Linked DNA regions of Saccharomyces cerevisiae S288C. The protein of the gene in region 3 purifies or fractionates together with the protein of the main gene of each other region. This does not show direct contact. Each region holds a gene or a part of one and is shown on either strand. Other genes may lie near its edges.

Region 1 (5,369 bases), on a different chromosome or scaffold from region 3:
AATATTCAGGAATAAGATCATCCTTGTTGGGACGTATGATTTAGATAAGTCAACTGGATACAGGTCAGGCTCACTGGATGTCTTCACAATGGACCTCAAACTTTTATGTTCGAATAATACGTATGGCGCAATCCTAGATTTGAAGTTATCCCCCTTTGATGATACATTGATATGCACGGCCCATTCGACAGGTAATATCATGCTATGGAGGATACGGTGCACAGATAAGGATGATTTCCAATCAAACGAACTAGATATTCATGCAATTGCAAATCTACAACTCTTTGAAAAAGATGTTCTCATTGCCTCGTGCCATTTTTCCCCACTTGATTGTAAGAAATTACTTGTAACAAATACGGCAGGCGAAGCAGCTACCATTGATATAAGAACACTATCTGTACAGTTCACGGCATCAGCAATCGCGCAGGCTTACTCAAAACTAGATAAAATAGATTACGAAGTTCAAGGTGCAACCGAAAAAGTCATTCATGTTGAATCGGGACAATTTTTGAAACCCCATGAACTCGAGTGTTGGACTGCGGAATTTGGATCTCTACAGCCTTTTCAAGACGTTGTATTTACAGGAGGTGATGATTCGAGAATTATGGCCCACGACTTACGTTCCAAAGAATTCATTTGGAGTAATAATCGTATTCATGATGCTGGTGTTGTTAGCATTAAGTGTAGTCAACCTAACTTTCGAAATAATAAACCCACGTCCATAATAACTGGATCCTATGATGATAACATTCGTTCTCTGGATTTAAGGATGATGGGTGAGTCCATATTTCCTGGTGCAAATGTCCCCACAGTTAATAAATTGGCGTGTGATCTTGGTGGCGGTGTTTGGAGATTTGTTGAATCCCCCATTGATCAGGAACAATCTCACCACAACGGCTCCGATCGGCTTTTAGTTTGTTGCATGTACAATGGTGCCAAGGTGGTGACCATGAATGATAATTCCGATGAGTATTTTCAAATTCAACATTATCTGAAGAAGGGCCATGATTCGATGTGTTACGGTGGCGACTGGTCAAATTCTTTGATCGCAACATGCTCATTTTATGATAATTCCTTGCAAACATGGATAGTTTAGAAAAAAAAATTCAGTCTGCAATATATGGACTAATATATAGGCTAATATATAGGCTAATATATAGGCTAATATATAGGCCATATTTTGATGATTTCGATAGATTATGCATAAAGAATTGATAGGAAGGAACTTGCCTGAACAATAATCTTTTACTCTATATTTTCTACTTATTATACATGATTCAGAAGCTTTGTTGAAAGGGGGAAAGACCGAGCGATATAAAATTGATGAAAAATTGATATTACAGCATCAATTGACATCAATCATTAAATCATCATTAGCTTCCTGTGGATCAACAAACTCCCTGCTGGCTCCTGCCAATAGTTCTCTTCTAATCTCAGGACCGATATCTTTATGGCCTCTTTGACGAACAGTTTCCAACAAGAAATCTCTCTGATCCTGGGTAATATCGTTCTTGTAACGTTGTGCAAATGTTAAGAAAGCCTTGTGCCATATCACTGGGAGTACTCTTGTAGCATCTTCCCCATTACTACCGTCATCCAAAATTCTAAACCTCATAAAGTAATACACGCAGTCGTCCACCGTCTGGTACGGTAAAGCATATTTTTTATCGAGCAATATTTTGATAAAAACAGTTGTAGGTGGAGAGAAAGGTAGCCTTAAAAGATAACTCAAGGCAGCTGAAGAATGTAAAGCCGGAACAGAGACTTTAGCAAGCACACTTCCTGCAATTGTCGCTTCACGTACATTACACCCTGTTTCAACCAATGGGAATAGGAAACCTTTGAAGAAGGCACTTGGTTTATAAAGCGATTTTTTCACCGCACGGTATATATGATAGTTTAAAGAGTGGTCTTCACTGGTCTCGATATTGTCACGGAAACGTTCAAGTAAAATTAGGTTAATAAATTTTTGAGATTCTTTAGCAGTTAGGTTGGATACAAATAATTTCGTTGCTTCGTAAACAACGTGTGGTGACCATTCTTCCGGGTTGGTCACATAAATGACATCTTGCCAATTTCTTAAGGATGGGATAACCTTGAACAACTTTGGCAACTTACCGTGCGTCCAAGTTTTTAAAATACTACCTACCGTAGTATATGCTTTGATGACCTTCTCTGGAAGTGCAACACCCTCTCCACTCTTCAAACCGGATGAAATATTGCCTCTTGAGGTATTCTGTTCATTAGCAAGTGGTTCATCATCTTGCATATCTTCAACTTGACTTTCCTTTTCTCGGATAGAGGCCATAATCTTGTCTGCAAGATTATAGCTACCACTTAAAGAGTTAAAATCATCTGATTTCTTGAAATATTGCTCAAACATCGCTGCGTCTTCTTCATCGATTTCAACTATCTCTTCCTCTTCTTTATAATCACCTTCGGGTTCAAAATCGGAGATGTCTTCTCCAAAAGCTTCTTCGTCTTCGTCTTCGTCTTCGTCTTCATCATCATAGCTCATGGTGGTGAATCTGGCTTCAAATTGCTTGTTTCTTTCTGATTCAGCAAGTTCCTCACCTTCAATTTCATCCTGTTGTTCCTTGGCCAACTGCAAAATTTTTCTTGATGCTTTGGAGTCTATGTATCCATCTTCCTCATTTGCAGCATCGTGATTTGCAGCATCGTTCTGCGCTAGCTTCTTTTTATTGATTTTTTTCAAGGTACCTTGAGCTGCATCTAAATCCTTTAAAAGTGGATCATGCCTCTGTTTTCTGGCTTTAGTAGAGGATGCTCTGGCCATTATAGTTAATCTTTCTAATATATTGTTTTATCTGTAAGTCTTAAAACGAGACAAATCTTGGATTTAAAACAACTTAGTGCATATTTCCTTTCGTCAATGTTGAAGAAGTGGGAGCTCATCGATTTTTAAAAATTTTCATTTCCGATGCCTCGCTAAAAAAAAAAAATGAAAAAGTGGAAAAATATGTTCTATTTCTTCCCCTACTGACACCACCAATAATACAACCATATAAGTTGGTACAATTTCTCCAAGCTGTACATCCTCTTGTGTTGTGAAATGTCTGATTTAACATCTATCATTATTGCGTATATAGACTGAGTCAAGATTATAAAGTATACATATCCAACCACATTACTCTTCATCCATTCTAACCTTTAATCCGTGCTCTAGTAAATACTCCTTTACATCGTTAACAGTGAATTCACCTCTGTGGAACATACCTGCACCCAAGCAAGCATCTGCGCGGGTCTTTAGGAAGGCCTCTTCGAAATGTTCGGGTACACCGGCGCCACTGGATGCAATGACGGGAATCTTGACCGCATCTTTAACATGTTCTATCAATTCCAGATCATAACCAGAATTAGAGCCATCCTTGTCTATGCAGTTCAATAAAATCTCCCCAGCACCTAGAGCTTCACATGCCCTTGTTAATTCCCACACACCAAGGTCTCTAGATTCTCTTCCACCTTTGATTGTACATTGGTACCAGCAGTATTTCTCTCCATTGGGGCCCGGATATTCTGTCTCGAAGACTTTGTTCTTCGTATCTGCTTGTGAATTTACATATACTCTCTTAGGGTCGACAGAAATAACAACTGCCTGAGCACCGTATGCTTTCGAGATTGTCTCTATTGGTGACGTTCCATCTCCTCTGTTACCCAACTCGTAGTATTTTTCGGCTGCATAGACTGCATCCGTACCGATCGATACTTTATCAGCACCAGATCTGAAGTATAGACTTGCAACTTCTAAAGCAGGTATTTTGGTTCCATCAACATCGACAATATCCTTGATCCCCCCACCGACTGTCAATGGAACAAAGACTGTCTTTGCGGCTTGTTTCAGAACCTCTAGCATCGGAGTATCCTTCAAAGGACAATCTCTAAAAGAAGTTATATTCAAAAATGTTACTTCATCCGCACCCTGTTGGTAATATTTCTGTGCCAACTGAACAGGCTTACCAAGGTTTCTAACACCTTTACCATCACTTTTTTCACGTACATCGTATTGATCACCTTTAGTAACCACCAAATCACCTTGGTCATTAGTACGTACATCAAGACAAGCAATAATTCTGCGTGTTAGACCATAATTTGAATAGTCATTCATTAAGAGTTCCTTCTCTTCCGCACTATAGTTTGGAATCGGAGGACTTTGTTGCTTCAAAAAATTCTCAATGACGTTCAAACCAGCTTTACCTGATTTTTCAGGATGGAACTGAGTAGCGAATATATTATTCTTGTTGACTGCCGCAATAAATTCCTCTGAACCGTACTTAGCTTTTGCAATTTTCCAACCGTCATTTTCTAGGTTTTTTTTCTTTTCTGAATTCAGAATGGCAGCAAAAGAATGGACGAAATAGTACCTCTTGTATGGATCCAATCCAAAGAATAGGTTTTCCGAGGGAATGCAAGAATTCCAACCTATTTCTGGTACTGGCTTTTCTGAATCATCGAACCTGGACAACTTAAAATCAATGTAGTTCAGACCCGTACTCTTAGGGCTTTCCACGGAACCGGCAAAGAGCGCTTGTAGCCCGACGCAAATTCCCATTATTGGTTTTCCAGATTCAATGTATTCTCTTATCGGCTTTTCGAATCCTCTATTAAATAAATTGTCGACGAAATGGCCATAATTTCCGACACCAGGCAAAATCAATCTTGACGTGCCTGATATGTTAAAATCCTTTGGTGATTTCACCAGTTGTACTTCGTAACCTAAATGCTCAATTGCATTGGTTAGTGACTGTAGGTTACCACTTTCAACGTCAATCACGTGAACGACCGGCATTCTCTTTTTCTTTACTTGTAAATAATTAAAAAACCTAAACTGGATACTGCTACTTCAATAGCTGCCTCTTTTCTTTTAAAACCTGATTGAGTAGTCGTCGATATCAAAGGAATATCAACTTATGTATGTTTCGATGTCTGACTCTTTTCTCATGAATTTTTCATTTTTTCATGATCACCTAATTAGCCGTGGAGAGAGAGAAAAATAATCCCAAAGCTACGATATGACTCAATTTTTTTTTGCAGAAGAGTAACTGATAGTATAACATCCACGAAATCAGTGAAAGGTCAGCGAGCTTTGCCTTTAAAAATTGAGTTTCTAGTTAATTAGTAAATAGCGCTAAACACAATTAAATAATACCGAATTGGCAGTGGTAGAGGAAAGAATGTACGTTACATATATCATTAAAAAAACATCTATTTCTTGTTAACTTCTCTTCTTTGTCTGACAGCAGCAGCCAATTTCCTCAAGACGTCTTCAGTAGTTTCCCAACCTATACAAGCATCAGTGATGGAAACACCATATTTCAAGCCGGCTTTACCTTCGGCTGGGATGCCTTGGT
Region 2 (7,670 bases), on a different chromosome or scaffold from region 3:
ATGTGTAGGCGGTTCGGGAAAGTAATGCATATCATCCTGCGCGTATTCGTTTTCATCAAATGGGTTTATTGAATATTTTGATTCAGTTCTTCCAATGTTATTTGAACTGCCATTTAATCTAAAATTATGTAAATTTGCAAATGAAGTGTCTCTTGTTAATGACACTTCACCGAAATAGAGACAAAACTTAACAAACTTTATGAACTGGTCTCTAGTAACGTCCTTCCCTGAAAATCTAATTGTTTCATATAAATCGATAAACTCCTTCGCCTTTTCTAACTGAATTTTATTGGCGTTGTGATTAACAAATTGTGAGTTCACCACGTCGGCAAACGTATCTTCTAGATTCATTCTAACATCTAAATTGTTCAGAAACAATCCATGGTATTTCAGTCTATCTGTTAAACTTTTTATACAATCAGCATAGTTTAGGTATTCTGGAAATAACTTTTCATCTAATGGGTAGTCACATCTCCTCGGGGGCTCAAGTCCGTCGTGAATAACAGGGTCTTTAGGTTTTTTGAGAAGAATTGTTAATTCTTTAGATCTTTCCATGTTCTGCAGTACTGCTTCCCTACTAGAACGATGCGGGAGATCAGCAGGTGTGATCGGAATATATCTTCTTGGTATATCTTTTAAACAACTCTTATGAAATAGCATTCTTCCAATAATAATAAAGATACAAAAAACGCCAAAGACAACTAAAGCGCCTACAACAATGAACGTATTAAAGGCATTGTTTTCTGATTTAGAAGCTTGTGCAATGGAATCTATGGGTAAAACAACTGAAAACCCAATCAAAAGTATCAAAGAAACGAAAAGGGAAGCTTTGTATAACCACGACTTGAGTTTTGCGAATCCGGACATCTACTGCTAAGTATGGACACTCGTGTCTATAGATAGTATCAGGCCAAAGTTGTATAGCGGTATCTTTTTTTGAATAAATTTCAATGTGTTTTCCTCTGTTTAACCTCCCACTTTCTTTGATGCTCAAGAGCAATAACTTTATCGCAAAATAACAAAACTTTAATATGTGTTGTAATTTTGGCTAAACCCAGTTCAACATCACCACAAAAGAAGGTTTCCTTTATGCCCTTACCCTTTCTGCCTTCTTATTCTAGAATTTGTTTTGATGCTGTATTTGTTTGGTCCTTGTTCGTCATCGAAAAACCGGCCCAAAAACGGCTAATAAAAACGTGAACCTGTTTTAAGTCTTTTGCTATAAAAGATATTTATACTCTAAAAAAAGGGAAACTTTTGCAGCAAAACAAATTTTATGCATTAGTTCTCTGTTCTTAACTTGGTCAGACAAAATTCGTCCGTTTGTAGTTGTCTGTACAGGAATTCATCGAGCGATATTCTATCCTGAAATACATATGCCATTAAGTTACATCCTGAATAGATTCCTAGTCATCTATCAGCAAATATTCATCTTTTAATTTGAACCAATTCCGTTTTGTTCCATGTAGTTTCAACCAGCTATTCAATGACTGCAAGTAAATTTGGTTATTCTCCCCAATACAGTTCAAGTGCTTCAAGGTCAAAATAACATCATTGACTCTCATTCCAGTCACGATGGAAAGATCCTCCAGGGTCACTTTATCATAATGGGCGAGGTCACCTTCAATAAGGTGCCAACAGAGTATCTGTGACCAATATTTCAAGTACCCGATTAGTCCAAAAGGTGATAACGGTACTTCTGGCCCTGATATTACACCTTCTAATTGGGATAGTTTGTATGAAAACTCGATAAGTAAAAGGCCTAATCCACGTCGTTGATATGGGGGAAATATCAAGATGCACGCTAGATTATTTTGCTGATATGACACTAAATCTTTCGAAAAGAATCCCATCGGCTTTGTTGATCCAGTTTCATAAACTATGTAAAATTCATAATGATCTACTTTGAAATACATGGATTTATTGTCCAGATATAGCTTAGTGAAAAGACAAAGACATTGGCAAAAGAGTTGATACTTGGATCCTTTTACTCTTCTTATTGTATATTCAGGACTCTTGTATTTTATTTTGCCTGGAACACGATATTGAAATGGACAACTTGCAACATGTCCTACAAACCGCGTCTGATCATCCGTGTATTTGAAGCAGTATTCACAAACGAAAAGAGTGTCTAGCCAGTATTGGCTGTTAGAAACAGAGGAAAGCTGACCCTTGGTCTCGGAGCACCCTAGCCTTTTTGTTTCAGGATCGAAATAAACGGCGCTCCCATACCAAGTAGAGAATTTTTTATTCAGTCCAAACTGAATCTGTCTTATGTTCCTTTCGTTCAGTATTCCATATAGCATCTCTTTTTGAGTTTTTTTAATTTTTGCTGAGGGCTTATTCTTGCCTTTTCCACCATTCTTCTTTCCTTTTAGCTTCTGGGTAGTCGCTGTGAGTGATTGACTTAAAGATCTTGCCATTTTTTTTGCGAGTGAAAACAAAAAGCAACTAGAAAATAGGAGCCTCCAATATCAAAAAATCAAACTTCAATTTAACAGATTCTTAGAGCGCTACATACTCTATCCAGTTCGATATGGACAAGACTTAATGATTTCATCATCTCTTCTGATTAACGATTCTGTTATTCTTCATATTTACGCGCCTAACATATCATGATGATTGGGTGTTCCGAAAATTTTCATTGGCGATGAGCTGAGTATTGAAAGCTCATTATAGTATTAGTATATTATTGTTAATAGCAAGTGCTATATGCTATAAAAATGCAATTACAACCCAATACTAATAATAGAGTGTCTTAAGAAATATAAGTATGGGTACTTACAGAAAAAGGTTTAATGAAAAAGCCAGATCCGGCCATATGGCCAAATTAAAAGAACTGAAAAGAATTAGGAATAAGCAGTTCACTAGACAGGATGAAAACGATGAAAGAGTAGAAAACCCAGATTCAGCTCCCGCTGAGAGTTCTACTACGGAGCCAAATGCCAATGCGGAAATTCTTGAACCTCTCACTGAAGAAGAAAAGAAAATGAAGAAAAGAAAACTACAGGAGTTATTTACCCCAAAGGAATCGAAAGTTTCGAGATTGAAGAAGAAAAGACTGGATAAATTTATTGAACATCAATTAAAAAGAGAGGAAAGAAAGACAATTATTGGTAAACTTCAAGATTATAAGATAGATACAAGTTTGTTGACAAGCTCTAAAAGGTTAGGAGAGGGCAGGCAGACTAAAAAGGAAGAATTCAAAGAAGCACTGAGTTTAGAACGTCAAGGAAGAGGAAATGAACAAACAAATGAAATATTATACGAAGAATATGAACCAAAAGTTTGGGATGAGTATGGTGAAGGAGGGAGCTCTGAGGATGATGACGGCGAAGATGATTTCGAGGCTTCATTTGGTAGTATGCCGAAACCAACGGACAATGAGGAGAAGAAATCATCAGGTTTTATTGATCATAGACCAGCAAAATTTGGTGGATCTGGTCTTAGCTTTGGGTTTAGCAATATAAAAGTCATAAACAAAGAAAGCAAAACTCCGAAGAAGAAATATAATTGGAGACAACGAGTAGAAATGGAAGAATTGAAGAAGCATGGGAAAGAAGATGAAATGGATTTCGACACGACATCTGAAGATGATGACGAAGAGGAGGATCAGGAAGAAGAAGACAAAATGCATCCTAGTGAAAACCCACTCGAAGAAGTTGAAAGCGCAGATAGTGAAACTGGCTCAGAAAAATTTGACCAAAATGATGTTGCTAACGAATTCAAGGATTGGGCCAATCAAGAAATAAAAAAATTGGAAGGTAGAGATCAAGAGCTAGTTACTCCCACTTTGAACATCGATTATAAACCGATAATTAGAAAGGAAGATTTAGATGATGGTCTCCAAGAAGCTTATGTTCCAATAAACGAGAATTCCACCCGTAAAGCCTTCTATGTTGAAGTTAGCAGATCAGATGAAATTCAGAAAGCAAGAATTCAACTACCAGTATTTGGTGAAGAACACAAAATTATGGAGGCTATTCACCATAATGATGTAGTGATTATTTGTGGTGAAACGGGGTCAGGTAAGACTACACAAGTCCCACAATTTTTATATGAGGCTGGGTTTGGTGCCGAAGATTCTCCAGATTACCCAGGAATGGTGGGTATCACTCAACCAAGAAGAGTGGCCGCTGTGTCCATGGCTGAACGTGTAGCTAATGAATTGGGGGACCATGGTCATAAAGTAGGATACCAAATTAGGTTTGACTCTACCGCAAAGGAGGACACAAAGGTCAAGTTTATGACAGATGGTGTCTTGCTACGAGAAATGATGCACGATTTCAAGTTGACTAAATATTCCTCCATTATCATAGATGAAGCACATGAAAGAAACATTAACACTGATATTTTGATCGGTATGCTTAGCCGTTGTGTTCGGTTAAGAGCTAAACTACATAAGGAGAACCCGATCGAGCACAAGAAGCTAAAACTCATCATCATGTCAGCTACATTAAGGGTATCAGATTTCAGCGAAAACAAAACATTGTTCCCCATAGCGCCCCCTGTCTTACAGGTTGATGCAAGGCAGTTTCCAGTCTCTATTCACTTTAATCGTAGAACTGCATTCAACTATACAGACGAGGCTTTCAGAAAGACTTGCAAAATTCACCAGAAACTTCCTCCTGGCGCTATATTGGTGTTTTTAACCGGTCAGCAGGAAATTACACACATGGTAAAAAGGCTAAGAAAGGAATTTCCTTTTAAGAAAAACTCCAAGTACAACAAAGATTTAGAAACACCCGTTTCTAAAATGGGTATCAATTCAAAAACAACAGATTTGGAGGCTGAGGATATAGACTTCAGTGTACAAGTTATCGATCAAGATAAGTTCAAGAGCGCGATAAGATACGAAGAAGATGAAGGTAACAGTGGAAACGGTGAAGATGAGGAAGACGAAGAGGAAGAAGGGTTTGAAGAAGTCCTAACTGAAGGGCAAACAGCTAACGATCCTTTATATGTCCTTCCACTGTATTCTCTATTACCAACCAAGGAACAAATGAGAGTCTTTCAAAAACCTCCTCAAGGTTCTAGGCTTTGTATTGTTGCAACAAATGTTGCAGAAACATCGTTAACTATACCTGGAGTTAGATATGTTGTTGATTCCGGGAGGTCTAAAGAGCGTAAATATAATGAATCAAATGGCGTACAGAGTTTTGAAGTGGGCTGGGTAAGTAAAGCTAGTGCCAATCAAAGAAGCGGTAGAGCAGGTCGTACTGGACCAGGCCATTGTTACCGTTTATATTCGTCTGCTGTTTTTGAACATGATTTCGAACAGTTCTCTAAACCTGAAATCTTAAGAATGCCAGTGGAGAGCATCGTGTTACAAATGAAGAGCATGGCCATTCATAATATCATTAATTTTCCATTTCCAACTCCTCCAGATAGAGTTGCCCTTTCCAAGGCAATACAATTACTGCAATATTTAGGTGCTCTTGATAATAAGGAGATGATTACTGAAGATGGTAAAAAAATGAGCCTGTTCCCACTTTCACCCAGATTTTCCAAAATGTTACTTGTTTCTGACGAAAAAGCCTGCCTTCCTTATATTGTAGCAATTGTTAGTGCCCTTTCGGTGGGAGATCCTTTTATCAATGAATTTGAGTTGGGAATAAACGAAATTTCTAGAAAACCAAATCCAGATGAAAATCTAGATGATAAGATTAGAGAGCACGATGAATCAACACCAGGTATGGATCCTGAACTGAAAAAGGAATTGCGCAGTAAATTCTATAAAAGCAGGAGTCAGTTTAGTAAATTAGACAAATTTAGTGACGTATTCCGTTTATTAAGTGTTGTAAGTGCAATGGACTACGTTCCAAAGGAACAAAAAGAAATATTCATGAAGAAAAATTTTTTAAGAGGCAAACTAATGGAAGAAATAGTAAAATTGAGGAAGCAGTTAATGTATATCATCAAGTCCAACACTTCAAAAGAAAATATTGCCGTAGTAATTAGGAATGAAGACTTGAAAAGTGATATTCCAAGCGTCATACAAATAAAACTTTTAAAACAAATGATTTGCGCTGGTTTTGTCGACCATGTTGCCGTAAGAGCAGATGTTTTATTTCCAGATGATGCTAAGATAACCAACAGAACTTCCATAATCAACATTCCTTATATTCCTGTTTTGGCCACGAGAACACCAAATATCGAGGACTGCTTTGTCTATATCCATCCGACTTCAATTTTAAATAATTTGGGGGAAATGCCACCCAAATACATGCTCTATTATTCCTTGCACCTTGGTGGAAATAATAAAACAAGGATGAATACTTTATGTGACATCGCAAGCACCCCCTTAGCGAACATAGCAAGAAAGGGACTTCTTTTGACATACAGTAAACCTCTGACTGGTCAAGGCTTGAAGACCGTTAATTTATCACCTACGGAACGGTATTGTTATGTGGTTCCTAGATTTGGATCCACAGTTGACAACGATCTCAAGATTGGTTGGGATTTAAATCCTATAGCAGTGCATCAGAAGAAGCAAAAAGGCCAGTGGACAGTCATTAAGTTTATCACCAGAAAGGGCTTCCAGACCATCACAGGTGAAGAGAAAGAAAAAAAATAATGCGCTGGTATTATAGAAATAGAGTTTCATTATATAAGAACATATAGGAAGAATACATTATTCCTATCTAGGGCATCAAATAATTGCAACCACTTAATGTTAACTTCCTTCATAATTCAAAACATTATGTTCTATAGCACTATGTATTTTATGTCATTATATACGTAGTCAATAACTTTATACGTTTTTTTTATTGAACAAAAGTAAGAATTGCTTAAGACATAATAAGAGGAAACTCATCGAACCAATTCAAAACGGATTATAGATTTATCATACCAGATACGTTTATCAGGAGGCTTGTATAATGGAGCACAGATATAACGTGTTTAATGATACTCCACGAGGGAACCATTGGATGGGCAGTTCTGTGTCAGGATCACCACGTCCATCTTATAGCAGTCGTCCTAATGTAAACACAACACGACGCTTCCAATATAGTGACGATGAGCCCGCTGAGAAAATCCGACCTTTACGCTCGAGGAGCTTTAAAAGTACTGAAAGTAACATAAGCGATGAAAAATCAAGGATATCTGAACGTGACAGCAAAGACCGCTACATTAATGGTGATAAAAAGGTAGACATTTATTCACTGCCTCTAATATCAACCGATGTTTTAGAAATTTCCAAACAAAGGACATTTGCGGTGATATTGTTTTTAATAATTCAATGTTATAAAATATATGACCTGGTAATACTTAAATCGGGGTTACCGCTTTCGGGTTTACTGTTTAAGAACTATCGATTTAATTTCATATCCAAGTATTTCATTATAGATTCCTTCTTCCTGTATGTTTTACCATCCTTTAACATTCCTAGGTTGACTTTTAAGCCATGGGTTGTTTATCTCCAGATTTTAGCTATGCTACTATTGAACATTTTCATATCAAGCGATCACGAGTTCGTTTTGATTTCATTAATTATGACCACATGGAGAAAACTTTATACGAAAGAATTAAGTGTAACAGGTTCAGCCATTAACCATCATCGTATTTTTGATTCTTCCGCTCATTTTAAGGGTGCTCTAACAATCAAGATCCTACCTGAAAACACAGCTATGTTTAATCCTCTTCATGAATCATATTGTTTGCCCATG
Region 3 (4,568 bases):
CATCAACTTATTACTATTCATTTTATATATTAAACAATAAGTATGAATGCCTAGTATAATTTCTTAGTTGTAGGATTACTGGCATGCAATTCTGCCAACTGCGATAACCTTATGATCTATTGATGTTAAAACAATATTGTTGGTAATGTATTTGGAATCAATCACATTAAGAGCAAAGTCTGGTTCTATAATTTCGACTTCGACAATAAGTGACTGATTTGGATTAATTGAGATGTCGTTAGTCCCGAGAATCTTCACCAATTTTACCGCGTTGTGCGTCAAATTATGGTAAAGAAGCAATTCAGAACCCAAGTCAACGGGATCACTTAGCGCGTGCGTTTGTATTGATAATTTTATTAAACGCAAGGCTAACAACTTTAGTGTGTTTGGTAAATTCGGTGATAGTGTATTCGTCTTTCTAGAGTGAATTATTATATCACCCTTACGAATGTGAAATTGCTTTTTCGTGAAGTCTTCGGTATTATGAATCTTAACAAGAACCTCTAAAATGTCAGGGTTCAAACCGACTGATATATTATTTTTTGTGTTAGTCTCCAGTATTTGTTTTGAATTCTTCATTCTTGAAACTATACCATAGTAATGAAAATCTTCATATTGTGTATGAATTTCAATTGTCTGGCCTGATTGAATATATCCGCTGTTGATCAAGACTTTGAGTGACACGTAATTTATCTCCGCTATCGGTTGAAGAACAGAAGATTGCAGTATTGTGCCTACAAATGGCTCTTCCAAAGTTGTTTCTATTTTGTTCATATTATGCTCTACCAATAGATATAGTTGCGAAAAAAATGTCGGACCTTCATACCATTCGGGAACATAATTTATAGAGTCAAATTCTGACTTATACTTAGATTTTGTGATGTTTTCAGTTTTATTCAAATTCGAACCTAATAAACCCGAACACGGGATAAATTGGAATTCTGCGTCTGTCCACTGAAAGTTTTCCTTCAACACATAATTTAGCTCAGACTGAATCATTTCTAGTCGGTGCTTATCCCAACTAATTAGATCTGCCTTATTCAAAAGAATTATCAAGTGCTTTTTGCATGCGGAATTCTTGTTCAAATAAGAGATCACTTTTAAAATTTCATAAATCTGATTATTTGGACCATCTAATGATTTTTCCCACGAGTCATAATTGCAATCAATAACCAATACATAAACTTCAGGATCAAAGGTCAAAATTGAGTTCAGAGTTTCTTTATTGAAGTATTTGATACTACCAGGAGTGTCTATAAGCGTCAAGGTTGATGATGGCGGTAGTAAATCATTTTCTACCTGAATAACTTTCTTAAACATGGAAAATCCATTTTCTCTTTCTGTTTTGGTATTGTCTAGAATGACCTTAAAACTATTTGAAGATGAAGGATCCAAATTACTGCTTTTTTTTTGTAGTTCCCTCATTGATGACATAGAAATTTCGTTTAGATCATATAAAAGATGACCAAGCAAAGTGGATTTGCCTGCGTTTGTATCACCGAGGAACAAACATGTCAAATTCAGAGGATGGGTGGCAATGAATGAATGAATATCAATCGACTCAGTAGGTGGTGTTTGAAGGTTAATTGGTTCCTTTTTTTCGGCCTTGGGCACAGATTTGATATTTAAGTTTTCTAATTTTTCATTGAAAGCATTAAGTTGGGCCGATTGTATTATATCATCAGGACTTGGTCTATTGAAATTCTCAATGGCTACTTTACGAGTTGTTTTCGGCAGGTTACAAGGCACAAAAATACCAAGGAGCTCATTGTTATGCTTTTTTAAGGACAGAAATGATGAATTCTGCGACGATAGCGGTATTGATGTACTCAACGAGTTTTTTTTATCTTTTATGATAAAGTTTGTGAACGCAAAATCGTCGGTTTGATTTATGCATGGATCGTTTTTCAAGAAACAGTAATGGTTCATTTCTTTAATAGCCTTCCATGACTCTTCTAAGTTGAGTTTATCATCAGGCGATTTCCTTTTGGTAGGGAGTTCGTTTTCTTTGCTGTCTAATGTCACTGATTTTCCTTGTTTCTCCAAATCACTATTTGACTTCTTTAAGGCAGACAACTTTAAACTCAATGAAACACTATGCTGGTTCGGGGTAAAGTCGCTTCTTTTTACCTTGTCTTTTGCAAGTAGCGTCTTCAGATCCTTCCTTTTTGTCTCAGCATTGTTATCTTTAGTTTCTCTATTCTTATGTAGTCTTTCTAGTAAGGATGCACTTTTCGATGTACTATGAGACTGGTCCGCACTTAAAAGGCCTTTAGATTTTTCTATTCTTTTTCTTGCTAATTGCTCTAATAACGACATGTCAGGTGGTACTGTAAGTTTCGAAGACCACCTCCTCGTACGTGTATTGTAGAAGGGTCTCTAGGTTTATACCTCCAATCTGTTATAGTACATATTATAGTACACCAATGTAAATCTGGTCCGGGTTACACAACACTTTGTCCTGTACTTTGAAAACTGGAAAAACTCCGCTAGTTGAAATTAATATCAAATGGAAAAGTCAGTATCATCATTCTTTTCTTGACAAGTCCTAAAAAGAGCGAAAACACAGGGTTGTTTGATTGTAGAAAATCACAGCGATGGCAGATTATGATAGTGCGAAATATTGGTCCAAGCAGGGAGCTCGTCGTGGGTTACAGAAAACCCGTTACTACTGCCAAATATGCCAAAGGCAATGTAAAGATGCAAACGGATTTCAATCACATAACAAATCGCCATCTCATTTAAGGAAGATTAGTCAAGTGACAGCTGAGGACGCTAGGCGCTACAATATCCAGTTTGAAAAGGGATTTCTACAGTTATTGAAGCAGCGGCACGGAGAAAAATGGATTGATGCTAACAAAGTATACAACGAGTATGTTCAAGATCGCGATCATGTACATATGAATGCCACCATGCATCGTTCTTTGACGCAGTTTGTCCGGTACCTAGGCCGCGCGGGCAAGGTAGACGTGGATATGGATATTGATGATACATCTGAGAACGTTGAAGGTCCTTTGCTTATCAGGATCCATCCCTCATCTTTATCATCACCTTCTGAAGATGGAATGCTGCGAAGTCAACAAGAGGAGCAAGAAGTCATAGCCGCCGAGCTTTTGAAAAGACAACTCAATCGTGCTAAGCGACAAACTGAAAAGGTATATCAACCAGAGATGAAATCGGAAATTAGCGGGGATAGCACTCTGAAACGTGTTCAAGTCACCTTCCACGGGAATGGTCGGGTAAATAAAAAGAAAAAGAAGGTTCCTCCACGGAAAGATGGTATCAAGTTCCGTTGATTGAAAATTTTTCTTTTCAAGCGATGAGGTTAGCGAAGTTGTTCGAACAAGCCCAAATATGTTTAGAAGGCAGTACGAATTGATACCCTGAACTGTTACTACCCGTATACACGTATTAAGTAAGACAATGAGTAATGGACACGTCAAGTTTGATGCCGATGAAAGTCAAGCCAGCGCAAGTGCTGTCACGGATAGACAAGATGATGTGCTGGTAATATCAAAAAAGGACAAGGAAGTGCATTCAAGTAGTGATGAGGAAAGTGATGATGATGATGCTCCACAAGAAGAAGGGCTTCACTCTGGGAAAAGTGAGGTAGAATCACAGATCACTCAGAGGGAGGAGGCTATAAGGCTGGAACAATCACAATTGCGGTCCAAGAGAAGGAAGCAAAATGAATTATACGCCAAGCAAAAGAAATCAGTGAATGAGACAGAGGTCACTGATGAAGTAATTGCGGAGCTTCCTGAGGAATTGCTAAAAAATATAGATCAGAAGGACGAAGGTAGTACGCAGTACTCATCTTCAAGACATGTAACTTTCGATAAATTGGATGAGTCAGATGAAAATGAAGAGGCATTGGCTAAAGCTATAAAAACTAAGAAAAGGAAGACATTAAAAAATTTAAGGAAAGATTCGGTGAAAAGAGGAAAATTTAGAGTTCAATTGTTATCCACCACACAAGATTCTAAAACATTACCACCAAAGAAAGAATCATCCATCATACGTTCAAAAGACCGTTGGCTAAATAGAAAGGCTTTGAATAAAGGGTAATATATAGCATACAACATAATAAAATAATAGTACAATCACAAAATTAATCATAATGTTCATTTATCTATAATCAAACAATGAGAATATATACTGAAGTTTGGTAGGTTATTCTTCAGAGATGCAGTACGATATCACCAACGGTATGCAGACACCTATCAAAACATAAACGGATTCATCATGAGGTAAAACGACTTCCTGTTCAACGCTGAGATCGTGATCATGAGAATCTCCACCAACAAATGCTGTGAAAGACGCATATAGTAAACTGCCACCACTCATAAGCAGAAGATTTCCACTTATCCAATCCATCGTTGGCGAATGACTCAGATTCAAAAGGGATAACACTATGTATCCGATCGGAGTCGATGACGCAAACAAGAAAACGTTACAGATCACCTCCCATTTCATTAAGTTTTGTCTCGATACCATCAAACTAGTGAGGGAAAGAACGGCAGGAATTTTATGAATAACTATAGCAATTAACACCACTATGAGCAGTG
Region 4 (5,694 bases), on a different chromosome or scaffold from region 3:
AAATTTTTTCTCTGACATCTACTATTCCAAACAAAGTTCATGAGTTAAATGATTACATAGTGGCCAATTCATATGATGATACACACAGAGATAAGATACTCTCGAATATGATGGATGATATAGATAAAGACAATGATAATGACCTGAGTGAAACGGCTGATCCAGATGAGAACAATGTAGCTGATCCAGAATTCTGTGCTGCTAATAGAATTTGCACGAGAGTGGCTTGGCATCCGAAGGGTCTGCATTTTGCGCTACCATGTGCAGATGATACAGTAAAAATATTCTCTATAAAGGGATATTCCCTACAAAAGACGTTGTCCACAAATCTCTCATCAACAAAGGCTCATTTCATTGATTTGCAATTTGACCCGTTACGTGGAACTTACATTGCGGCAGTAGATTTAAATAATAAGTTAACGGTATGGAATTGGGAAACTTCCGAGATCCACTACACCAGGGAATTCAAAAGAAAAATTACTAATATTGCCTGGAAAATCCAAGCGGACTCAAAAACTCTAGACCTTGTTTTAGGTACCTGGTCCGGTAGTATAGCCATTGTCCAAAATTTGGCAGAGTCCGTAGTATCTAATATACCTGACCAATCTGTTGCTGAATCTTCAACTAAACATGGGCTTTTTGTAGACTCCGAATCTGACTTGGAAAACTTAGAGGGAAATGATGATATAAACAAAAGCGATAAGCTATTTTCAGATATTACTCAAGAAGCGAATGCGGAAGATGTGTTCACTCAAACACACGACGGCCCCAGTGGATTAAGTGAAAAGAGAAAATACAACTTCGAAGATGAAGAAGACTTTATTGATGATGACGATGGTGCTGGTTATATTAGTGGCAAAAAACCACATAATGAACATTCTTATTCGAGAGTACACAAGACTCATTCGTTTCCAATCAGTTTGGCAAACACAGGAAAATTTCGTTATATGCCTTTTTCTCCAGCGGGAACACCTTTTGGCTTTACTGACAGGCGTTATTTGACAATGAATGAAGTGGGCTACGTATCTACTGTCAAGAATAGTGAGCAATACAGCATAACTGTCTCTTTTTTTGATGTTGGACGTTTTAGAGAATACCATTTCGAGGACTTATTTGGCTACGATTTATGCTTCCTAAATGAAAAAGGCACTTTATTTGGCCAATCCAAAACTGGGCAGATACAATATAGGCCACACGATAGCATACATTCAAACTGGACCAAGATTATTCCTTTGCAAGCTGGTGAGAGAATAACAAGTGTGGCAGCCACCCCGGTTCGCGTTATTGTTGGTACATCATTAGGCTATTTCAGAAGTTTCAATCAATTCGGGGTTCCATTTGCTGTTGAAAAGACATCCCCAATTGTAGCGCTTACTGCTCAGAATTATAGGGTTTTTTCAGTACATTATTCGCAGTTTCATGGCCTTTCATACTCTTTATCTGAATTGGGTACTTCTAGTAAAAGGTACTATAAAAGAGAGTGTCCACTTCCAATGAGTTTACCAAACATTAATTCTGATATGAAAAAAGACGCAAATCTTGACTACTACAATTTTAATCCGATGGGCATCAAAAGTTTGTTCTTTTCAAGCTACGGAGATCCATGCATTTTTGGGTCCGACAACACGCTTCTATTGTTATCAAAGTGGAGATCACCAGAAGAAAGTAAATGGCTCCCTATTCTAGATAGCAACATGGAAATATGGAAGATGTCAGGAGGGAAGGAAACGACAGATATACATGTCTGGCCCTTGGCTTTGGCGTATGACACATTGAATTGTATCTTAGTTAAGGGCAAGCATATATGGCCCGAGTTTCCCCTTCCGTTGCCATCCGAAATGGAGATTAGAATGCCAGTATTTGTTAAGAGTAAATTACTAGAGGAAAACAAAGCTATATTAAATAAAAAGAACGAAATTGGAGCTGACACCGAAGCGGAAGAAGGGGAAGAAGACAAAGAAATACAGATTCCTGTTTCTATGGCGGCGGAAGAAGAGTATCTGCGCAGCAAGGTTTTGTCAGAGCTGTTGACAGATACACTCGAAAATGACGGTGAAATGTACGGCAACGAAAATGAGGTATTGGCAGCATTGAACGGTGCATATGATAAGGCTTTGTTACGTTTATTTGCGTCTGCATGCTCAGACCAAAATGTTGAAAAGGCTCTTTCGCTTGCTCATGAATTAAAACAAGATAGAGCACTTACTGCAGCCGTTAAGATATCAGAAAGAGCTGAGCTGCCCTCTCTCGTTAAAAAAATTAATAATATAAGGGAAGCTAGATATGAACAGCAATTGAAATAAAAAAATGTAAAATATATATACGCAAGAGACAATTATTTGATACCTGTTCATTTGTTCAAATCATCGTTCAAAATGCTCCCACATTAACATATATTTCTTTGAATGCGACGATAATAAAGAGTTACGTTGAACATGATCTGAGCTGGAAGCGTCCTTGCGAATTTTCGCGAAAGGAAAAAGTGAAAAAATATGAAAAAAAAAAAAAGAGATGACATTTTATAGATGAGCTTTGATTAAACAGTGTAACACCTGGTCCTGTACCGTAAATATTCAAATAAGCATCAATTCAAAGTTCTTTATTTCTTCTTTAGCATTTCAAAATTATAGAAAATCTAGAAAAGATGTCAGATGTTACCCAACAGAAAAAGAGGAAAAGATCCAAAGGAGAAGTTAATCCATCAAAACCCACAGTAGACGAAGAAATCACAGATCCATCCTCAAACGAAGATGAACAACTAGAAGTTTCGGATGAAGAAGACGCATTGGAATCTGAAGAAGAATTCGAGGGTGAAAATCCAGCCGATAAAAGAAGGAGGCTTGCAAAGCAATATCTGGAGAATCTGAAAAGCGAAGCTAATGACATTTTAACTGATAATAGGAACGCTGAAGAAAAAGATTTAAACAATCTCAAGGAAAGAACAATCGACGAGTACAACAATTTTGATGCTGGAGATTTGGATAAGGATATCATTGCGTCCAGGTTAAAAGAAGACGTTGCTGAACAGCAAGGCCGAGTCTTCAGATATTTTGGCGATAAACTTCTAATATCTGAAGCAAAACAGAGCTTTACCAGGGTAGGGGAAAATAACCTTACTTGCATTAGTTGTTTCCAACCCGTTTTAAACAAATACACCTTCGAGGAATCATCTAATGGCGATAAGAACAAAGGTAGGTTATTTGCCTATACAGTTAGCAAAGACTTACAACTCACCAAATATGACATTACTGACTTTAGCAAAAGACCAAAGAAGCTAAAATACGCTAAAGGAGGAGCAAAATATATACCTACGAGCAAGCACGAATATGAGAATACCACAGAAGGCCATTATGACGAAATCTTAACTGTAGCAGCCTCACCAGATGGTAAATATGTTGTCACAGGTGGAAGAGATAGGAAGTTAATTGTATGGAGCACAGAATCTCTATCACCCGTTAAAGTTATTCCAACAAAGGATCGCCGAGGGGAAGTTTTATCGTTGGCTTTTAGAAAAAATTCTGATCAGTTATATGCATCCTGCGCAGATTTTAAGATAAGAACATATTCAATAAATCAATTTTCCCAGTTGGAGATTCTTTATGGGCATCATGATATAGTGGAAGATATATCTGCGTTGGCGATGGAAAGGTGTGTTACCGTTGGTGCCCGTGATAGAACAGCTATGCTTTGGAAGATTCCTGACGAGACCAGACTAACATTTAGAGGTGGCGATGAACCTCAAAAGCTACTAAGGAGATGGATGAAAGAAAACGCTAAGGAGGGAGAAGATGGAGAAGTCAAATATCCTGATGAATCAGAGGCACCTTTATTTTTCTGCGAGGGTAGTATTGACGTTGTGAGTATGGTGGATGATTTTCACTTTATAACAGGCTCCGATAATGGTAATATATGTCTATGGTCTCTGGCGAAGAAGAAACCTATCTTCACGGAAAGAATTGCCCATGGTATTTTACCTGAGCCCTCTTTCAATGACATTTCGGGGGAAACCGATGAAGAATTAAGAAAAAGACAGTTGCAAGGCAAGAAATTGCTACAACCATTTTGGATCACATCTCTTTACGCTATTCCATATTCGAATGTATTCATATCTGGATCATGGAGTGGATCGCTAAAAGTTTGGAAAATTAGTGATAATCTCAGATCATTTGAGTTGCTAGGTGAATTATCTGGCGCTAAAGGTGTAGTTACCAAGATTCAGGTTGTAGAAAGTGGTAAACATGGGAAGGAGAAGTTCCGTATTTTGGCTAGTATTGCCAAAGAACACAGACTCGGTAGATGGATTGCAAATGTTTCAGGTGCCAGAAATGGTATATATTCAGCTGTCATTGACCAAACAGGCTTTTAGATTGCTGATATTGCCGTAATTTTCCATGCCCTTTTCACTCTCTCAGAACGCAAAGCGGCTCCGGCTCCCAAGTATATAGAAATAAGCATATAGAATGAAATGTATCTTTTGTAAAATATCTAAAAAAAAAATAGTACATGTATTTTAGTCTTTTTGGTACATTAAAAAAGTTTTCATTGTCACGTATCTGCAATGGCATTCTTCACAAAGCATGTTAGATGCGGGGGGAGGGGAATGATTATGGACAAGAAGACCAATATTATTATTTATTCTTCAATGGAATCGGAAATAGAATGAAGAATTATGACTCCCTGATATGCGAATAGTTTGAACCTAAAACGCGCCAGGACTGTTTAAAAATAACAAAATCGAACATTGTTAGAATGAAACTCTAACATGTTATCTATTTAGTAGTATGAACGGAAGGATAAATAATCGAAATATTATTATGTAGAAATACCGATTCCATTTTGATTCTTATATTCTCGAGAGAACTTCTAGTATATCTGTATACATAATATGATAGCCTTTACCAACAATGGAATCCCAACAATTATCGAATTATGAGAAATGGGTGAATGTTGAGATAATTGTTGGGATTCCATTGTTGATAAAGGCTATAATATTAGGTATACAGAATATACTAGAAGTTCTCCTCAAGGATTTAGGAATCCATAAAAGGGAATCTGCAATTCTACACAATTCTATAAATATTATTATCATCATTTTATATGTTTATATTCATTGATCCTATTACATTATCAATCCTTGCGTTTCAGCTTCCACTAATTTAGATGACTATTTCTCATCATTTGCGTCATCTTCTAACACCGTATATGATAATATACTAGTAATGTAAATACTAGTTAGTAGATGATAGTTGATTTCTATTCCAACATACCACCCATAATGTAATAGATCTAATGAATCCATTTGTTAGTTAATAGTTTAAATGTTTTTATCGGAAGAGGTTTTGTCATCACATCAGCAATGTTCTTCTTGGTCTCGATGTAGTATACGTATAGATTATTACCTGATACTTCATCTCTAAGTCTCATTGCCTTTGTGCCAAAAAATCTGTTTCTAAATTTCTCTTCATTTGTAGACTTAATTATACTGATCGTTGATCTACTATCAGTAAGTAAGCCTTTAATAATTGGTTTCTTGTTAAGTTCTTGCACAAGGTGACTGAGGTTATTCAATAGCGGAATAGCTTCACTGACTGCGTGTATTTCTGCTTCTGTAGTTGAAGTGCATGTTAACGAAGCCTTTGTCGACTTTCCTCCAATCACTTTTCCGTTGAGTAGGAAAATGTTACCAATTTGTGA

What was found.
Region 1: the proteins of BUD21 (region 3) and ENP1 purify together in Saccharomyces cerevisiae (affinity purification with mass spectrometry; 5 studies listed by BioGRID). This does not show direct contact.
Region 2: the proteins of BUD21 (region 3) and ECM16 purify together in Saccharomyces cerevisiae (affinity purification with mass spectrometry; 6 studies listed by BioGRID). This does not show direct contact.
Region 4: the proteins of BUD21 (region 3) and RRP9 purify together in Saccharomyces cerevisiae (affinity purification with mass spectrometry; 5 studies listed by BioGRID). This does not show direct contact.

What each region holds. Positions count from the first base shown.
Region 1 is NC_001134.8:711,659-717,027, forward strand, and holds ENP1 (snoRNA-binding rRNA-processing protein ENP1), read right to left. Parts: upstream 2,798-5,369; coding exon 1,346-2,797; downstream 1-1,345. Other genes in the region: RRT2 (diphthamide synthase), read left to right, coding at 1-1,096; HIS7 (imidazoleglycerol-phosphate synthase), read right to left, coding at 3,149-4,807; 3-deoxy-7-phosphoheptulonate synthase ARO4, read right to left, coding at 5,224-5,369. UniProt on the Saccharomyces cerevisiae protein: Required for normal export of the pre-40S particles from the nucleus to the cytoplasm.
Region 2 is NC_001145.3:520,923-528,592, forward strand, and holds ECM16 (ATP-dependent RNA helicase ECM16), read left to right. Parts: upstream 1-2,773; coding exon 2,774-6,577; downstream 6,578-7,670. Other genes in the region: DLT1 (Dlt1p), read right to left, coding at 1-867; SAS2 (histone acetyltransferase), read right to left, coding at 1,407-2,423; POM152 (Pom152p), read left to right, coding at 6,882-7,670. UniProt on the Saccharomyces cerevisiae protein: Probable ATP-binding RNA helicase. Required for 18S rRNA synthesis. May play a role in restructuring of the pre-rRNA.
Region 3 is NC_001147.6:469,302-473,869, forward strand, and holds BUD21 (Bud21p), read left to right. Parts: upstream 1-3,423; coding exon 3,424-4,068; downstream 4,069-4,568. Other genes in the region: SKI7 (Ski7p), read right to left, coding at 76-2,319; RTS2 (Rts2p), read left to right, coding at 2,598-3,296; Mn(2+) transporter ATX2, read right to left, coding at 4,174-4,568. UniProt on the Saccharomyces cerevisiae protein: Functions as part of the small subunit (SSU) processome, first precursor of the small eukaryotic ribosomal subunit that coordinates the first two steps of ribosome biogenesis in transcription of the primary transcript pre-RNA and pre-18S processing.
Region 4 is NC_001148.4:799,715-805,408, forward strand, and holds RRP9 (ribosomal RNA-processing protein RRP9), read left to right. Parts: upstream 1-2,644; coding exon 2,645-4,366; downstream 4,367-5,694. Other genes in the region: chromatin-binding protein CTF4, read left to right, coding at 1-2,303. UniProt on the Saccharomyces cerevisiae protein: Involved in nucleolar processing of pre-18S ribosomal RNA. Required for efficient pre-rRNA cleavage at sites A0, A1 and A2, and biosynthesis of 18S rRNA.